Bombyx mori: one gene and its partners. The protein of the gene in region 2 purifies or fractionates together with the protein of the main gene of each other region. This does not show direct contact. Links are inferred from orthologs where the notes say so. Each region holds a gene or a part of one and is shown on either strand. Other genes may lie near its edges.

Evidence for each region.
Region 1: the proteins of cact (region 2) and cullin-1 purify together in Homo sapiens (affinity purification with western blotting; 8 studies listed by BioGRID and IntAct, with this or other methods). This does not show direct contact. The link is inferred for Bombyx mori from reciprocal best matches to the Homo sapiens genes NFKBIA and CUL1.
Region 3: the proteins of cact (region 2) and RpS3 purify together in Homo sapiens (affinity purification with western blotting; 4 studies listed by BioGRID and IntAct, with this or other methods). This does not show direct contact. The link is inferred for Bombyx mori from reciprocal best matches to the Homo sapiens genes NFKBIA and RPS3.

Annotation. Positions count from the first base shown.
Region 1 is NC_085108.1:4,460,578-4,464,647, forward strand, and holds the start of cullin-1, read right to left. Parts: upstream 2,801-4,070; 5' UTR 2,465-2,800; intron 2,374-2,464; exon of another isoform or gene 2,167-2,373; intron 1-2,166. UniProt on the Homo sapiens protein: Core component of multiple cullin-RING-based SCF (SKP1-CUL1-F-box protein) E3 ubiquitin-protein ligase complexes, which mediate the ubiquitination of proteins involved in cell cycle progression, signal transduction and transcription.
Region 2 is NC_085118.1:17,162,795-17,171,469, forward strand, and holds the start of cact (cactus), read left to right. Parts: upstream 1-3,763; 5' UTR 3,764-3,915; coding exon 3,916-4,190; intron 4,191-6,620; coding exon 6,621-6,946; intron 6,947-8,675. Other genes in the region: DNA replication complex GINS protein PSF1, read right to left, coding at 167-231, 494-565. UniProt on the Homo sapiens protein: Inhibits the activity of dimeric NF-kappa-B/REL complexes by trapping REL (RELA/p65 and NFKB1/p50) dimers in the cytoplasm by masking their nuclear localization signals.
Region 3 is NC_085120.1:12,499,979-12,504,007, forward strand, and holds the start of RpS3 (ribosomal protein S3), read right to left. Parts: upstream 2,801-4,029; 5' UTR 2,777-2,800; coding exon 2,744-2,776; intron 2,438-2,743; coding exon 2,134-2,437; intron 1,279-2,133; coding exon 1,058-1,278; intron 1-1,057. UniProt on the Homo sapiens protein: Component of the small ribosomal subunit. The ribosome is a large ribonucleoprotein complex responsible for the synthesis of proteins in the cell. Has endonuclease activity and plays a role in repair of damaged DNA.

The DNA.
Region 1 (4,070 bases), on a different chromosome or scaffold from region 2:
ATACTGCCTGTACATTATGGTGCACTTGCAGAAGCCAAACATCTTCATTAAGTCTTCAAATATGATTTTTAGGCGCTAGTGAATAATATCGACACTTGAAAGGCAAACATGACTAACCGACAATAACTACTTTGTACATAAATGATAAGCAATAACCATATTCGATGTGAAAAAAAAAAATATTTCTAGGTCTATTAAAATTATTTCAATCCTACAGCTACTAGCTAGATTCTACTACAGCTAGATTCGTTAAAATAAATTTTGTTTTCAGGTATTTCAACTTTAAATTAGTCTACTGTAAAATTCACGCATTTTCAAACGTCGATATGTATATGTTTACACATTTCTGAGACCTCAGCATTTGAGGCAAATGTAATAAAATGAAGCAGTATATACATGTAGCAGTAGCTATCATAGAATAGAAGTACTATGGTTACAACTTGATTAATATGAACTACACAACCAAGATAAGCTAAGATTCGCAATAGCTATACTAAGCAAAAAACCTGCCTCACACTACAAAACATTTTTTCTCAGGTAGTCAATTAGCTTAGATGAACAAGTATGCAATACAACCGTCACTAAATTTCTCCCTTTCAATAGTTCACTCAATACTGAGCATCAAAATCTGTCAGTCACACAGTGAAGTGCATCGCTCAGTCTTATGTCCAGATGCTTAGACACTAACTAGTTTACTAACCATCACTATTCCTAAGCAATTTTGATAAAAAAACAATAAGATTTGAAATTGATGAACAAAAGAAAGTTAAGAACAATACAATGTCAACTTAATTTATGCAATTGTGTATGTTTTTTTTATTGCCCTTGTAGGCATACGGTCTCCTAATGGTGAGTGGTTACCGTCGCCCATGGACTTCAGCAATGCCAGGGGCAGAGCCAAGCCGCTGCCTACCGTACGGGTTCAATATCACGATACCCAGTTTCAAATAGACATAGTTGAGAGTTCATCCGCAAGGCAGACTCAGTAAATTTGTCTTTATATACATTTATTTTATTTTATTCCTGTGCAATTATTATTTTGAAGAGAATAGCAAACAGAGCACATTACATGCACGTGTACATTATTTCGTTCATTGTTTTTTGTGTTGTGCAATTATTTTCGTGAAAAGAACTTATCATTTCAATTTCCTAATACTCATATGAATTTCGACATGTAAATACAGCACCAACTGAATTGTAATATTCGTTTACTTGAGACTGCCTAAAAACTTTTCTTTGTATTGTATTTTTTTTAAACATCATTATTATTAATCTTTATCCTTATCATTGCCTAGAGAACAACAATGCCACAAGCATTGTGAATTGCCTTTAAATTACTTTTGAAAAATATATGCCATAGCTCTGAAGTAATAATGATCTTTAGGAACAACTGTAGAAACTCCCAAATTACTACTTGGGATGTCCTCACAAGTTCATGAAGTATATTCTTACAAAGAGATGAATTTGCTTAGCTTGATTTAGTCAATCAATATAGTTGGTAACTTACATTTAAGGCAAGAGATTTGATACATTTAGGGCATTTAGCCTTGGAAATAGCCACTTTGCACTCCATTTCCTGTATTTATTGTGCAAAATCAGAACTCTACTTATATTTTTTTACTTTGAGCACAACCATTATTAACTTACATCACTGAATCCCTATAATTTCATATGTAACACATATTACATACATAGTATTTATTGGTACCTCTAATTTCGTATGTAATATATTTTACAAAGTATTTATGTAAATCTTATAACAAGACCTAGTTATTTTCTCGATATTGCCACTAACAAAAAGCAGGTGGTAACAGATTTAAAAGAAAAAGTGTAGATAAGCATAGGAAGACATAACAGACATACGTTTTGTTGTGTATTGTGCTCATTGAACGATAACTGTTTGTTCAACTAGAAAACTGTGTCTTATTAGCATAAACAAAAAAAAAAAACAAATTACCGTTTTCCTTAACTGCGCATAACGATGTGCGAGATTAACATGGAGTTTATGAATTTAATAATAAGTAAATGCAATTAAAGGCTAAAAACGATACGAAAAGTAAAAGTGTTGTTGGATCTGACAAAGGAATCGAGATTTTGCAACACAAACAAGGGCAACCGAGAACGTGTTTTTTTAATAATCTCTCAAGCTTTTGAATTACAACATACCTGCTTAGTCTTCCCGTTAAACCTAATGGCACTATATTTTACATTAAAAGCACTAAATGAGCTATTTCAAACACGTTTAATCATTATATTGCGACTGGTTTCTGCCTGACAATTTCAGGTAGGTAGGTAAGTACCTACCTACATCTGTATTCTGTAATTTGGACTACCTACCTGACAATTCACTGACAGTCACAGCGTGACATGACAGATATGAAATAACGCTACCGTAAAGCGTCCGAATTTTTTTAGTTTTGATATGTTTTAAAATGGGTATGTAAATTGATCGGATTATACTTACGTAGCACCCGTTTTCACGCTGTCATCGACCACATTACACTTTTTTATGTACTTGATGCGATACGATTGAGCTTGTTTTATTATACCACGATTTACAATCACGATTCATCAAATTTTATTCAATTCGGCAATACGTACACATGTAGGCCTTGTTATTTTGGACCATTTCATCCTCACTTCAAATAAAAAGAAACAACAGTGAAAAGAGAGAACAAAACTGAAGCAGTGCTGCCGGTAAATAAATTAGACAAATCCCAAACCCTTATTGATTTTATAGGATTTTTTATTATTATGCCATAAAACTTTATTTTCATATACCCATAATATTACATGTCAGCCTTCTTTAACGATGTTTGAATTTATTTGAAAAAAACAATTTGATAGACTTCAATTTCCTTGTAAATCAGCAAGACTGGTTGCGTTCAGTTTGGTGTTCTCCAAAGATTGCTTTTGCATTAAACTGCCTAGTAACCAAGTAATATCAATCAATCACTAATATAGTTAATGATTTTTTTTAAACAAGGATATGATAGATATAAATAGCAATCGCAAAACCTTCCGATCGTCATCGTTGTCCATAAAAGTCCCACATTACCTTAAATCAGACGAAAAGTATCCGCACTGGCAACTCTTAAAACCGTGTTCATTTTCACTCTACTGTGACGCTAGGTGGCGTTACTTTTTTGAGTATTGATGCGTTCAAATTCACTCAGAGGGGATTTAGTGAATTCAGATTTATGCTACTCTGGACTCTGGAACACAAGTAGATTAAACATAAATAGAAATGAATTAATTAGGGCAGAAACGTAACATTTGTATGTATGCCAATAAAAATATTGAATATACTATTTTAATTGTTAAATAGACCATGTTTTCTATCAATTAACAACAATAAAAATCATGTTAATGGACTACCTATGCAGACTAAAGTGCAGGAATCTCCAGCTTTTTAAATAAATCTGTGTACTGGTTTCAATGCCTAGGTACTGAAATGTTGATTTCTCAGGTAATTAAGCTTGTAAATTTTCTGCATGAGCAACTACGACAAATCAATAAAACTATTAACCTAAGAATATATCCCACAGAAATACTTGACCAAGCCAGGTCCTTCCCCACCGCAAAGCTTTTCATGTTGAAATTGTGATGAAAACATTTAATTTTGGTGAATGAACAATAATATTTTTACTCTAGATGAGCAGATTATCTGTAGACCACTCGTCGATTGATCCAATTGGTTATCAGATTAGCTAAGAGTATTACAGTCCCTGCTTAGTTTTGTTTTCTAACAAAAGTTAACAAAGGTTAAATGAATGGTCTCGAGAAGATATTTTTAAATGAAAAGGTTGTTATGACCCTTAATACTTCTAAAATTGTACTAGGATCTTCGAATTTTTCGAAGATCCTAGTACATACTGTTGAACTTAAGTTGATGGTTTTTACTTGTTTAGGAACCCAGTTAAAGTTCTCGTGTGTATGTAAATATTGTAGTCGTGTGATCTGCGTGCTTCTACTACAATATTTACTACAGAAAATAAATAATATTGCGCGAAACTCTTGTCAAATCTGCCAGAATTCCACGATTGTTTTTGCAAGGTCTAAACTGCAAA
Region 2 (8,675 bases):
ACAAAAAAAAACAAAAATAGACCTTCCTGGAGTTACAAGGTTACCTGAGCACTTTTGCATCACATGAAACAGAATAGGAGGTTACAGAATAGAAGTGATCATAGCAAATCTTGCATATTGAACAATAACTACTTGCAGTTATATTAGTAGAAAACCAGTGACTTACGCATCATTCATGTTCAATTTAAATAATAAATGCATTTCTTCTATTATTTGGCGTATTTTTTCATCCTGTAACATGTGAAATACTATGTACTTTATAAGATTAAAAGACACAAAAATAATAATAGGCGGTGCTATAACAATAATTTAATATACTTGTCACTTCTAAATGGATTTCTGACTTTATAGTGCATATGCATAGACAAACAGAATAGATGACAACCGGATAAAATCTTGGTTTCGGTATTAAATAGTAACTTAAAGCTTTCATTAGATATAACAAGTTTATTCTAATTCCAATCCCATACCTAGATGGGCACATCCAACTTACATTATATTGATCTATTGTGTCAGGATTTCTATCTACTTCTTTAATTAGTTCTATAACTTTTTCTGCGAACATTGTGTGTTACTTATTTACTTAACAATGAGAGAGATAACAAACAAAATACTTTAATAATTTAGATAAAAACATTTTTGGCATTGGCGCGAAAGTTGTTATTAATTTGATGAGTGACAGCTCAAGACTGTGACAGATAGTAAATTTGACATTTTATGATCGGATACGCATCATTTTTGGATGAGTTCGAAAATCACAGAAGCCTTGATCTTTAAATCTATAATACCAAAACCTAATCTTAAGATATTAAAATTTTCTAGAAGTGGGAGCTAAGTCATACAAGTAACTTTTTACAGATAATCACTTAGTAGCAATACAGCCAATAATAATCTCACTCTCCTTATCGGGTCGACCATCAGATCCAATTACTCTTGCAAAGACGCTTTCAACTTTAACATTAGGAGCAGACTTAGGGACCCTGATAACCGTACTCGTCGAACTCAACAAAGTGTTCGACGTGCAAACTAACCTCCCGGTGCCACCTCTGGGACATGATGATTTCATCATTCCCGCTGAATTGCGCCTCCTTATCAAGCGGATAAAGAGGCGCAAGGCATTGTGTGAGGACGGTATTCTCACCCTTGCATTTTTCCACTTTCTAGAATCAGTCGTGTCTTTTAAGACACGGCTGTTTAATTACATTCTGTCTACAGGATATTTCCCGGGAATTTAGAAGGACAGAAGACAGCCCTCCAATTATCGTCCGATTACCCTGTTGTCGTATGTGGGCAAGTTGTTCGAGCGGCTGCTGGTGAGAAGAGTGTCTCCGCACATCCTTCTCAGACCCGAGCAATTCTGGATACGTAGCAGTCACTCAACAACGCTGCAATTGGTCTGCGTTATGCACCTTTTGACGGTCCAACGCACGCCAGTACATGGCGGCAGTATTTCTCGATTTCGAGAAGGCCTTCAACCGTGTCTGGCGTGCGGGGCTTATCTGCAAGTTGGTGCAGAACACGGACTTCCAGCACGCCTACGTGCGACTACTGGGGTCGTACCTGGAGGGCAGAACTCTTTTTGTCGCGGTCAAGAGCGCTAAATCGTGGATGCGCCCAGCCACAGCTGGGGTTCCCCAAGGAGGTATCCTGTCACCGATCCTCTACGCTCTCTACACCAACGACATTCCCAATGTCGTTACGTTGTGTTAACACACAGAAATAATAAGCAGTAACATATCTATGACGGCGTTAACGTTACTTCTGTTATACAGCACGTGCAATAGGAGTGAGTCATACACAAGCCAGGTGCGCCGGCCGTGTCACTCCACTCGTAAAACAGCACGTGCAACAGGAGTGACTCATAGATAAGCCAGGTGCCCCGGCCGACTGCGTTTGCTCGGTGCACTTACTATATCCTTGTTACATTGTGTGATTAAGTGACTGTTTTACGTACTGGTTAAGGTTGGATAAATGTTAAAGTGAATTAAGTTATCATATTGTTGATTAAATCAGGAATCAAAAAGTGACTTCGTTTTACTGGGTGTTCAACAAGATAATATCCCCCGCCCTAACCCCCCCCCCCCCTCCCCCTCCCACATAATACGCAATGGAATTGTTCAATGAGTAACGTATGTTCGTCTGCTTTTTGTGGCCACAATACCAAACAATTACAACTTCTAGTTTTGTTGATCCGAAGAGTCGATAATTGTAAAATGAAAGAATAAACACCAAATGGAAATTTTAAGTTCTTTCTATTGGGTCCACAGCTGTCTATAAAGTTTACTTATGGACGAGAGTTTTACGTGATAACGTCGTAAAGACTCCGTATGCTTTACCACCTGAAGTATTTCCTTCCGCCCGAGACCAAGACAATACTCGTTCAAACTTTGGTTTTCCCCTTGATCGACTATGGTGATGTGTGCTACTTTGACCTGAATGCATAATATCTACTCAATAAACTTAACCGGCTTCTCAATAACTGCATTCGATTTATTTATGATCTTCGGAAATACGATCACGTATCTTCTCATCGCTCCCAACTTAAATGGCTCCCCATTCGACAACGCCGTAGCTTGCGTGCTCTCGGTACTCTTTACTCTTTGTTGCATTCCCCAAATCCACCTGCTTATTTAACTACTTCCTTTCAATACTTAGGGTCTGACCACAGCCGAAATCTTCGTTCATCTCACAATGTTCTTCTTCGCTGTCCTCCATATAGTTCTGACTCGGTTCTCTAAGGTCGGCCACTACACGTGAAGCGTTTAAGATGAGGGTTCGAGAACTGTTTCTAGAGAGTTATCAGAGTCATCTAATTGATAATATTTATTTATATATATTTTATACATATATATTTATGTAAATGTATTTATTTAAGTACGAGTTTTTGTATCTATAAATATTATGTATGTTATATATACACATATGTTTAAGTAATATCACTATCACACTACACCTATCAAGGTTCATCTCTGCACCCCCCTAAGGTAGACTCTCAGAGAATTTTTCGGAGCATCTGGGTCTACGGAGGGACTTCGGTTCCCTCTGTATTTTGTACCGTATGTTCCATGGGGAGTGCTCTGAGGAATTGTTCGAGATGATACCGGCATCTCGTTTTTACCATCGCACCACCCGCCACCGGAGTAGAGTTCATACATACTACCTGGAGCCACTGCAGTCATCCACAGTGCGTTTCCAGAGGTCTTTTTTGCCACGTACCATCCGCCTATGGAATGAGCTTCCCTTCACGGTGTTTCCCGAGCGCTATGAGATGTCCTTCTTCAAACTAGGCTTGTGGAGAGTATTAAGCGGTAGGCAGCGGCTTGGCTCTGCCCCTGGCATTGCTGAAGTCCATGGGTGACGGTAACCACTCACCATCAGGTGGGCTGTGAGCTCGTCCATCCATCTAAGCAATAAAAAAAAAAAAAAAAAACGTGGATGTTTTAGTTTATTTTTATCGAAATCACAGTTTTGTTATATTGTTTTACTTCACGAACCAACAGATATTTTTTTACTAGTCAAGACACCTATTGTCACTGTCTATGTCTATGTTTACTTTGTTTTTGCTAAGGATATCTATCAACTCAAACAAAATATTTTAGATTAAATCATCACGCAGTGATGTAGATTGTAGACAATTTACATGACACAGTGTTTCCGAACATGTCTCTAGAAAGTGACGTAATGACGAATGCTAATAAAAACAAAAAATGGCAGCCTTATGTAGTCACAAATACTCCAGCATTGAATCTTAATCACGCATTGTGCACGCGCATTCGTTGTAGTGAGGCTGTTTATTACGCGACATTTTTGTGTCAAAACATGGTTCCGTGTTCATAAACAATTGTAATATAAACAATAGTGAAACGATAAGATTATTGTTAAAATTGAAAACGGTCGTATAGAATTGAACCAAAAATGAGTGCCAAAAAAGATTCCGAAACGAAATTGCGCGAGGACGAGTACGCTGATTCCGGTTTTGTTACTGGTGAAATATCAGGACCGTGTGATAGTAATGATATCGATTCAGGGATGATCGATTATGATGAAAAGAATAGTGAAGGTGAAAGTGGAGTGAAATCCATTACGGATAGGCTGTCACAAGTAATGGTTAGTGTTCAGAGTCCTGCACAGAGTACCGCAGACATTCCTCCGCTGTATCTACTGTTCCAACAGGACGAGGACGGAGACACGTATGTATAAATCATTATACTCCACGCACTCTTACAACAACAACAAAAATTCTTCATTTTGGCTTTTTGGGGTCTGTGCATGAAATTTTTCCCTATAATTTTAAACAACATTGTTAACTTGATTTGACACTACTACTATTATTAAATACTTTTTCGAGAAACACTCCTTGCTTACCTTTTAGTTTAATGATAGATTTTTAAATATATTTTGAGATTTATCAAATTACTTTTTTGTTGTTGTTAAAGTCAATTAATTACCTACGAAGGGCATATTTAAAAAAAAAACATTGTTAATGTGGAAATTTTATCAAATTATACTTGTGCAAGAACCTCAGCTCACCAAGAAAATTAATATGACAATCTTACCCAGCCAATACAGTTTGTAATAAGTCAACAGACCTAAACTACAATATGTATTCTTATTAAAACCATGATGAAACTTGAACTATAACAAAAGAAATTCCCTGTGTTCAGTGAAATAAATGAGAGAAATAGCAACTTTACGTTTAAGGTGCTTACTATATCCTTTCATTCGTCTATTTTAATAAATCTATTTTGAATTAACATGCAGTTAAATAAAACCAATTTTTATCATGTTTCTTTATTAAGCTTTAAACTTTTTGCTAAAGCGTTAATTCTCGTAGTTTAGCATTTTATAAAGCATATTAAAATATATTGATATAAAGTTGCTAGTTCAATTATATTTTAACAGGGTACAATAACATAAACTTCATTTAAAAAAATGTTTATCAGTACAGTAACAAAAATGAACTTAAAGCGTTGTAGCCTAATACGGTAATATGCACATGATATGTTGTAAATTCTGTAATGAATAAATTGCATGCACTGCCCGCCATTGCAGTAGCCTTTGTCCACTCTGTGTAGAACCACTGTGTTTATCCACAGTGCATTTCCGGAGATATTTTCTGGCATGTACCATCTGGCTTTGTAATTAACTCCTCTCTTTGATGTTTCTCAAATGCCTTATAATGTTGGAAGGTTGGTTGACAAGATTTATAGAAAATACTCAGGGGCAGGAAGCAATTTGGCTCTGCCCCTGGCATTACTGATGTGAATTAGCAATGGTAACCACTCACCATCAGGTGGGCCATATGCTTTGATATCTTTGTTTTCAGTGAAACTATAGACTAAATATACATAAACTAAATATTCACTACTATGTTTTAGTAAATATAGCAGTGAAAAAGACTTGATATTCTTCCAATATTTAAATTAACAAGGAAATCATTTATACATTTTACAACTTCCTTTGCGCGGATTTGTTTTTTTGAATAAAGACGATCAAAGTGAGCAAATTTAATTGCTTGAAAAACATATTGATTGGATTGATAATACAATTAGTAATCATGATCAAGTATATAATAATATACTTATGAGTGCAAATGTAACTGTTTCAGCCTTCTTTGAATATAAATAACTAGGGACTATTTTTAAATATTTGAATTAGAACTGATAATTATTTGTTTTTCTAAACTATCTAAAACTACCAAAATATTATTTGTTAAACTGTTCCCAGATGTGTTGACAATTCTAGCTCATGTTGTTTTAATTATCAATACATAACATTTTACACTGTTTTTATTTATTTGATATCCCTAAAATTATTTATTTAACTTCCTCACTCAGATCAATAACCTATGTAGCTATGTATAATAAAAGAACAAGCTATTGAATAGATTAGATAGTGATATGATTACATCACTAGATGCAACTAGTGATGTCCTCAAATGACCTCACTCACAACACCATCACTCATATAAATTCTGAGGATTACATGGGTACATCTAATGTGTTTGTTTATATCAGGTGGTTCCTGCATTGTATTCAGATAGAATGGACTGGTTCATGCACATACCAATGATAGAATCAACCAATCGACAATATCATCATCTGGTACTCGTTTTCACAATTCAAACTAATTACAAAACAAGTTAACATTTATAAAAACAAGTTTACTTCCTCAATAATTGTAAATTGTTTCGTTTTATTTAAATAGTATATTTTATAATACCTATTAATAAATGTCTATGATAAATTTATAAATTAAGGTTTATTTATTTAGCATACATACATACAATCTATGCAAGTACAACATCGATATAACACCAGTTGTATAATAAATGATTAATCATACATATGAAATATAAAAAAATATGTTTATTAGTAGAAGGTCTGAAAAATAAAATATAAAGTATTTAAATTTAAGAAGTACTTCCTGTCTATGAACTCATTTTTTCAGTACAGATATTCCCATAAATAGATTACTCAATGTCTAAAATGAAAACAGTCACTATAAAGTGTTACCAGTGCCTATTATGGCTATTACATATCAGTGAACTACTTATTACATTATAAGGAGTCTGTGCAGTTGATATGTTGAATGTGAAGAGTTGTTATTTTCCATTACAGACAACTACACATCGCCTCCGTACACGGCTGTGAAAAGTCAGTGGGTACCCTCATCAGGGTGTGCCCTGAGAAGTCGTGGCTGGACGTGCCCAACGATTATGGCCATACGCCACTGCATCTAGCGGTGATGAGTGGTAATGCCATCATCACTAGGATGTTGGTCATCGCCGGAGCTGACATCGGAGCGAGAGACTGCCTCGGAGAGACTCCGCTACACAAAGCGACTGCCGCCCGCCATATAGAATGCTTAAAAGCACTACTTGCCAAAGTTCCTGAGCATCAGAGCAGTAAAGTATTAACAGTACTGGAGCAGAAGAACTACAACGGTAAGTTGTTTATTTAAAAGAAATCATTCAAATATTTCCTTGTAGCCATTTGTGAGCGACTCGACTGATAACAAATTCAGTAACAGATTAGTGTAATGAGTGTTGATCAATTTATATACCTCGTGCTTTTATTCAGATTCTAGCTAAATTAATATTAACTATAAACCTAGCAAGTTTGCAGCGAGATAAATTATTGTCTCACTGAATCAGATGTAAAAACCCATACAAACTCGGAATTTCCACTTACGATTCGCTTTAAGCGTTCTTAAAGACTTGACCGTCGGCAACTACCGCATTTTTATTATTAAAATTTATTAAGTTAAAATTGCGTAATTTCACTAATATCGTGGTCTGTTATCGGTCGTTGAATTAAGACGCAGTATGAACGATAAAATGTAATGCCGAGATTAGCACGTCCGAATTTGAACTACGCATAGTACTGTACTTATCCTGTGGTAGGTTAAATGTTTGACCTCGGATAATTCAGGGAAGTAGTATTTATTGCCGGCGCCGGCGTCGCGGTCCATCCAGGCGTGAACTTACACCCTAATGACGTCACGTGTTCATTGCATTAGAAGCTACGTAGTCTACTAGCATACATTGTTGAATTGAACACTAGCAGCTCGTATCTGGAGCCAGTTTGTGGCACGACACAGACATACGGCGTTGTTTACGTCCGAAGTGCGAACCGTGTCTACTTGTGACGTCATTCAAGGTCTCCATTACGATCGAAGTCATTAAAAATCTATCGTAAATTCGGTTTGGAATACAGCGAAACGCAATTCATGAGCATCCATTCAAAATTTTAGAATGTCTCGTGGACTCGTCCTCATTTTAAATCGTGAACACGGAACGACCCGTGTAGAGCTGCATCAAAACATGATATTTCGAGTTTTTTTAATTAGCGGTTTTCCCTGATCATCTCTGGTCGGCTTCAAGTTTTGTGTAAAAGAATTTCGCACGACTTCTGGTCGTCGATCTGCATACGGTTTTACCCGACGCTTGACCTTGCCGAGACAGTCAAACACGTATTATAACATAATTTTCGGACTTAATAATTATACATCTATACTGCGAGCCGTTCGACAGAGGCCGCCTACGTGCGAGGCGGTGTGACCGCGGACTGGGTATTCCCAACGACCGTTCTCAAACTTGAGTGAAAGCATTATGCTTACATTGAACCGAATCTACCGCTCCAAACGTTCGCACGACTCTTTAGTCGGGATGCCCCACTGTCCACTGCGCTGCACATAGCTAATTATGAATTTGTTAAGCAGCCGGCATAGTAAACTGGGTTTTTCTAAACAACAATAAATACATAATGTTTACTTTTCATATCTGCGTTTTGTGTAAACGCAGCAATTCCCTTGCTTCTATCGCCGTCAAATCGCGCCTGAAGTCGCTTGCTTTCACTAAGTAGCTTACAAAGTGAACTTGTTGAAGGTAAACACAAGTCCATTCCGTTAAATGTATTCGCTGGGTTGATCGGTCTAAGGAAAACCGCAGAGGTACGGCTGCAGGCACCGTAATTTCCCATTATTCGAGCTGAACAATGAGTCGATGTGCTGATGGGTTATACCCGCGTGAAAGTGTGTCCAGGGGCCGTGCTGCCGCGTTACATACTCGCGGAAATCCCAAGCGTCGTCGTAATAATAGCGTTACGTCGCCGCCTCGCCACCCACGCTTTCTAATTTTAAAACGCTGTACTGAATCTCACTTAACAGACGCG
Region 3 (4,029 bases), on a different chromosome or scaffold from region 2:
TAAAATAGCTATTTTTATGATGGTGGTACGTTTAATAATCAGAATAGTGTTTTCTTGAGTGTTTGAGAGCTGTGGACATTAAAATTGTTTGGTTTGCACCGTAACAGAGCCAATATATAAAAGACCCTTCAATAAACAAGCCAGAATACTCTTCCACTGCAAATTAGATCAAAAGCCACTGAGAGTGCTTGCAATCCCTGATTGCGTGGATTATTAATTTAAGACTAAACTAGGATAGATTTTTGAGATTCGAAGATGTATTTATTACAAAACTCTATGGCTGAGTTCAAAGATAAAACCCTTGACTATTACTATTCAAGTGCATTAGACTTTTTAGGATGCTTTGAAAGGAGTTTCTTAAAATGTCCCTTTATAGTGAAATCTAGTGGTGAAGTTAGTGTGAAGAAATATTTCATTATGATGAAGTAATTTTGTAAATGAATATTTAAACAGGAATAAAACAGTAATTGAGTCGTCTATTATCAAAGCCGGCAATCTGACTTTTGAACAATATTGGTAAATCAGAAAAACGAATTATTGACTTTGTATTCCATTGGCAGTCACAAAACTCTTCGGAACGACATCTTAGATAAATAACAGGTTAACTATTAACCTTTATTTAATGCAGGTTTTGAACCGTATTCTTTGAAGGAGACGATTATATTCAAATCAATCTGTATTGACATATCAAAATATTTTTTTGTCCAAATGCACAGATTGCCACCTTTGATAATAGACGACTCAATTATACTATTTTAATTTAGCCTAGTTGAGTCTAGCCTACGTTAATTACGAAGGTAGTTAAATTCAACAAATACCATAGTGATACCTACGGTAACAAATACCATAATAACATACATTGGTGACTTTGGTGAAGTTTATAATACTATCTCAGACACACACCTTATACTTTTATTTTCAACCCTTTTGGTTTTATACCAGGCTTCACTCTATTTATTTGTAGCAGTTTATACAAATGGTAGATTAGGTTAATCTTACAGGGTATAATTGAAAATTTATCAAAATTTTAATTTATTAACAGTAAGCTGTTTCTCACCTTGATTCCTAGTACTCCTTGCCTGAGAAGCACATGTCTGGTAGCAGTGTTGACGTAGTCATTGCAAGGGTCTCCAGAGTGGATCATGAGTCCATCTACAAACTTCATTGATTTGGCACGTTGACCACGCAGCTTGCCAGATACAACAACTTCACAACCACGGGCGCCAGATTCCATGATGAAACGGAGAACACCATAGCAAGCACGACGTACAGCGAGACCTGAGATTACAGTAGATATTACAATTTTTATAAAGATAAATACAGCATCGAAATAAACGATAAATACATGAATGATAAATACAAATTATTGAAACTATTCTTGAAAACATACATAAGGAGTAAAGAGTAATCTTTCTAAAAACTAAAGAATTTGAGATTAATTTACATTATTGTACGTTAGGATCCGGTGCTTCTAAGCAGTTTTTGCATGCAATGTGACTTGAAGGTGTTTTAGTTTGAATATTCTTCAGACAGGTAGCAATTTTTAAATGCCATATGTGTGTAACAACACATTGCCAATCGACTTCCACAAACTTTGTGGCTAATTTATTACAATTCTATAATTATGAGATTTTTTAATAAAATTAATATACACAATAGCCATTAGTAGTGTGTCTTGTGCAGAGGCTGGGTATAGACTTTTTGATTACACATCATAACAATTTACATTTAAAATTAATGAATAGGAAAGTTTTTTTTTGTGAATCATGTATGTCATGAGCATAGTTATAGGATTATTTATGCACAATTAGATGAATGAATTGTTTCAAATGATTCTAAAATGAGTATGCATTTTATACAATTATTTTCAGATTTAAATGTTACCAGCATAACATGCAAGCATATAGCAATAGGCTGATGCAATTATGATATGAGGATGTTAATATAGCCTCAACGAAAAACACATCAACTTATTCTGAATTGAAGTGTCAGGTGTGGGGCATACATACACATAGATATTTAATGTTTGGTTTAGTATCTGTAAATAAGCCACACATGTTATTTTTATTAATTGGTGTGTTAAAGAATTTTTCTGTGCTTTTCATGCAAGTTTAACCATGTAGACATACTAACCTCCGATAAGCTTGTATCTTAGAGATTCGGCCTGGGCGATAGCGCAAAGACCACGAGTAGCCACCTTTTCAGCATACAATTCTACAGATTGCTCTGGAATGTTGAATCGCTTCTGTACTACGGAAGTCAGCTCACGGATTCTGCGTCCTTTCTCTCCGAGCACACTTTGTGTCCTGGTGGCCATAATAATGATCTCCGAGCGGATGGGAGTGACCCGGACTTCCACGCCGGAGTAGCCGTCCTCGGCCAGCTCCCTAGTGAGGAACTCATTGAGTTCCGCCTTGAAAACTCCATCTCCAACAAACTGAAAAAACATCAAGAGGTTATGTTTTTAGCACGTCGCTCCTGCTTTTGAATATTATCTTCGTTCATTGTATGAAATCGAGATATTTGTTTGTGATGTAGAAGGCTCCAAAATCACTGAAGAAAACTATGTTAGTGTAAAAAATGATGAAAACTATTTCACCGCTGATCACAACTGAAAATATCCACTAACATCACAAATTACACTTGCTAAATAAACGAATTTTCTGAACTGGTAAATCAGTTGAGTATTTAAAAATAAATTTAACTAAATATTTTGCAGCGTATAACACTAAATAAAACGTACTTTTCGCTTCTTTGAAATATTGTTCACGGCCATGATTGCAACGGGAGCCGAGAAAAAGAGGGACGGCGATGGCTGATGACAACAAGAACGTCAATGTCAAGTAATGTCAACTGTCAACTGTAATCGTTTTTAAGTCTACACTCAATTTGTTATAAAACATGCAAAATGAAATAACAATGTGGGTTTAGTCGATTTATTGGTTGATTTTCAAACTAGGTTAACTTTAGTTTCACTAGATAGGCGATTTGTTATACAATAGCGCAGCAAATACTCTTCACATGTTTTTTAAACAGGATTGAAGTTGCAATGTTTTTTTTATTATTTTTTTATTCCTTAGTTGGGTGAACGAGCTTAAAGCCCACCTGGTGGTAAGTGGTTACTGGAGGCCATAGACATGTACAACGTAAGTGTGCCACCCACCTTGAGATATAAGTTCTCAGTATAGTTACAACTTACAACTGGGTGAAATTGCTTGGTTTTCCAACTGTCCTAATGTTGTTGTTTGGTGCTTGTTTAATTTAAATGCAAGCATGTATTCAAAATGTCAATAGCGAAATTCAGATATCTATCAAATATTTTGTGTTCTATGATGGCTACTGCCACATTTCCATATTTATTGATAGAAGAAACAACGATGATATACAAGTAAGTATTTGTTTTATTTGAGTTGTGATATATAGATATTTTAAACTTTTGGTATTGGAAAATTATAATATAATATAATATTGAATAAGTATCATTAGAACAAAAAACGGATGAAGTAAAAGGAAAAACAAAAAAAGAAACCGTAAAAGTCCGTTCCTACAGCATCTAAGGCACTTTGCAATGGTTAAATGGATATTTTAATATATATAATAATATATAGCCCAAGGAGGATTGACGCCAGGCTGGCAGCCGGTTGGAAAATTCATGCTAAATCTTTTTTTAGGACTGCAGGATTACTTGTGGCTCCGAGACCTTTCAAGTTTCACGGAGGCGCGGGATTTGCTAACAGCTGCCCGATGGATCCGTAAGGACGTGTGGAGTCGACTGTGACAACAACAAGTATATACAAGTATAAACTAACAGCTGTCGTTGGTTAAATTTATATTTTGTGAATAATTAATGTTAACTAAAGGCAGCACCCGAAAATTCAAATTAAATGTGAATCTGTAATAAAACTATCAAATAAATTACGTCGGACGATCCGACTGACATACGGCACCATCCGGTACCCGGGCCGGCCGGTTTAAAATATGTTTCCAAAGCTTCTACCGGGGTTCTACGCCAGGCCCCATAACAAGTAA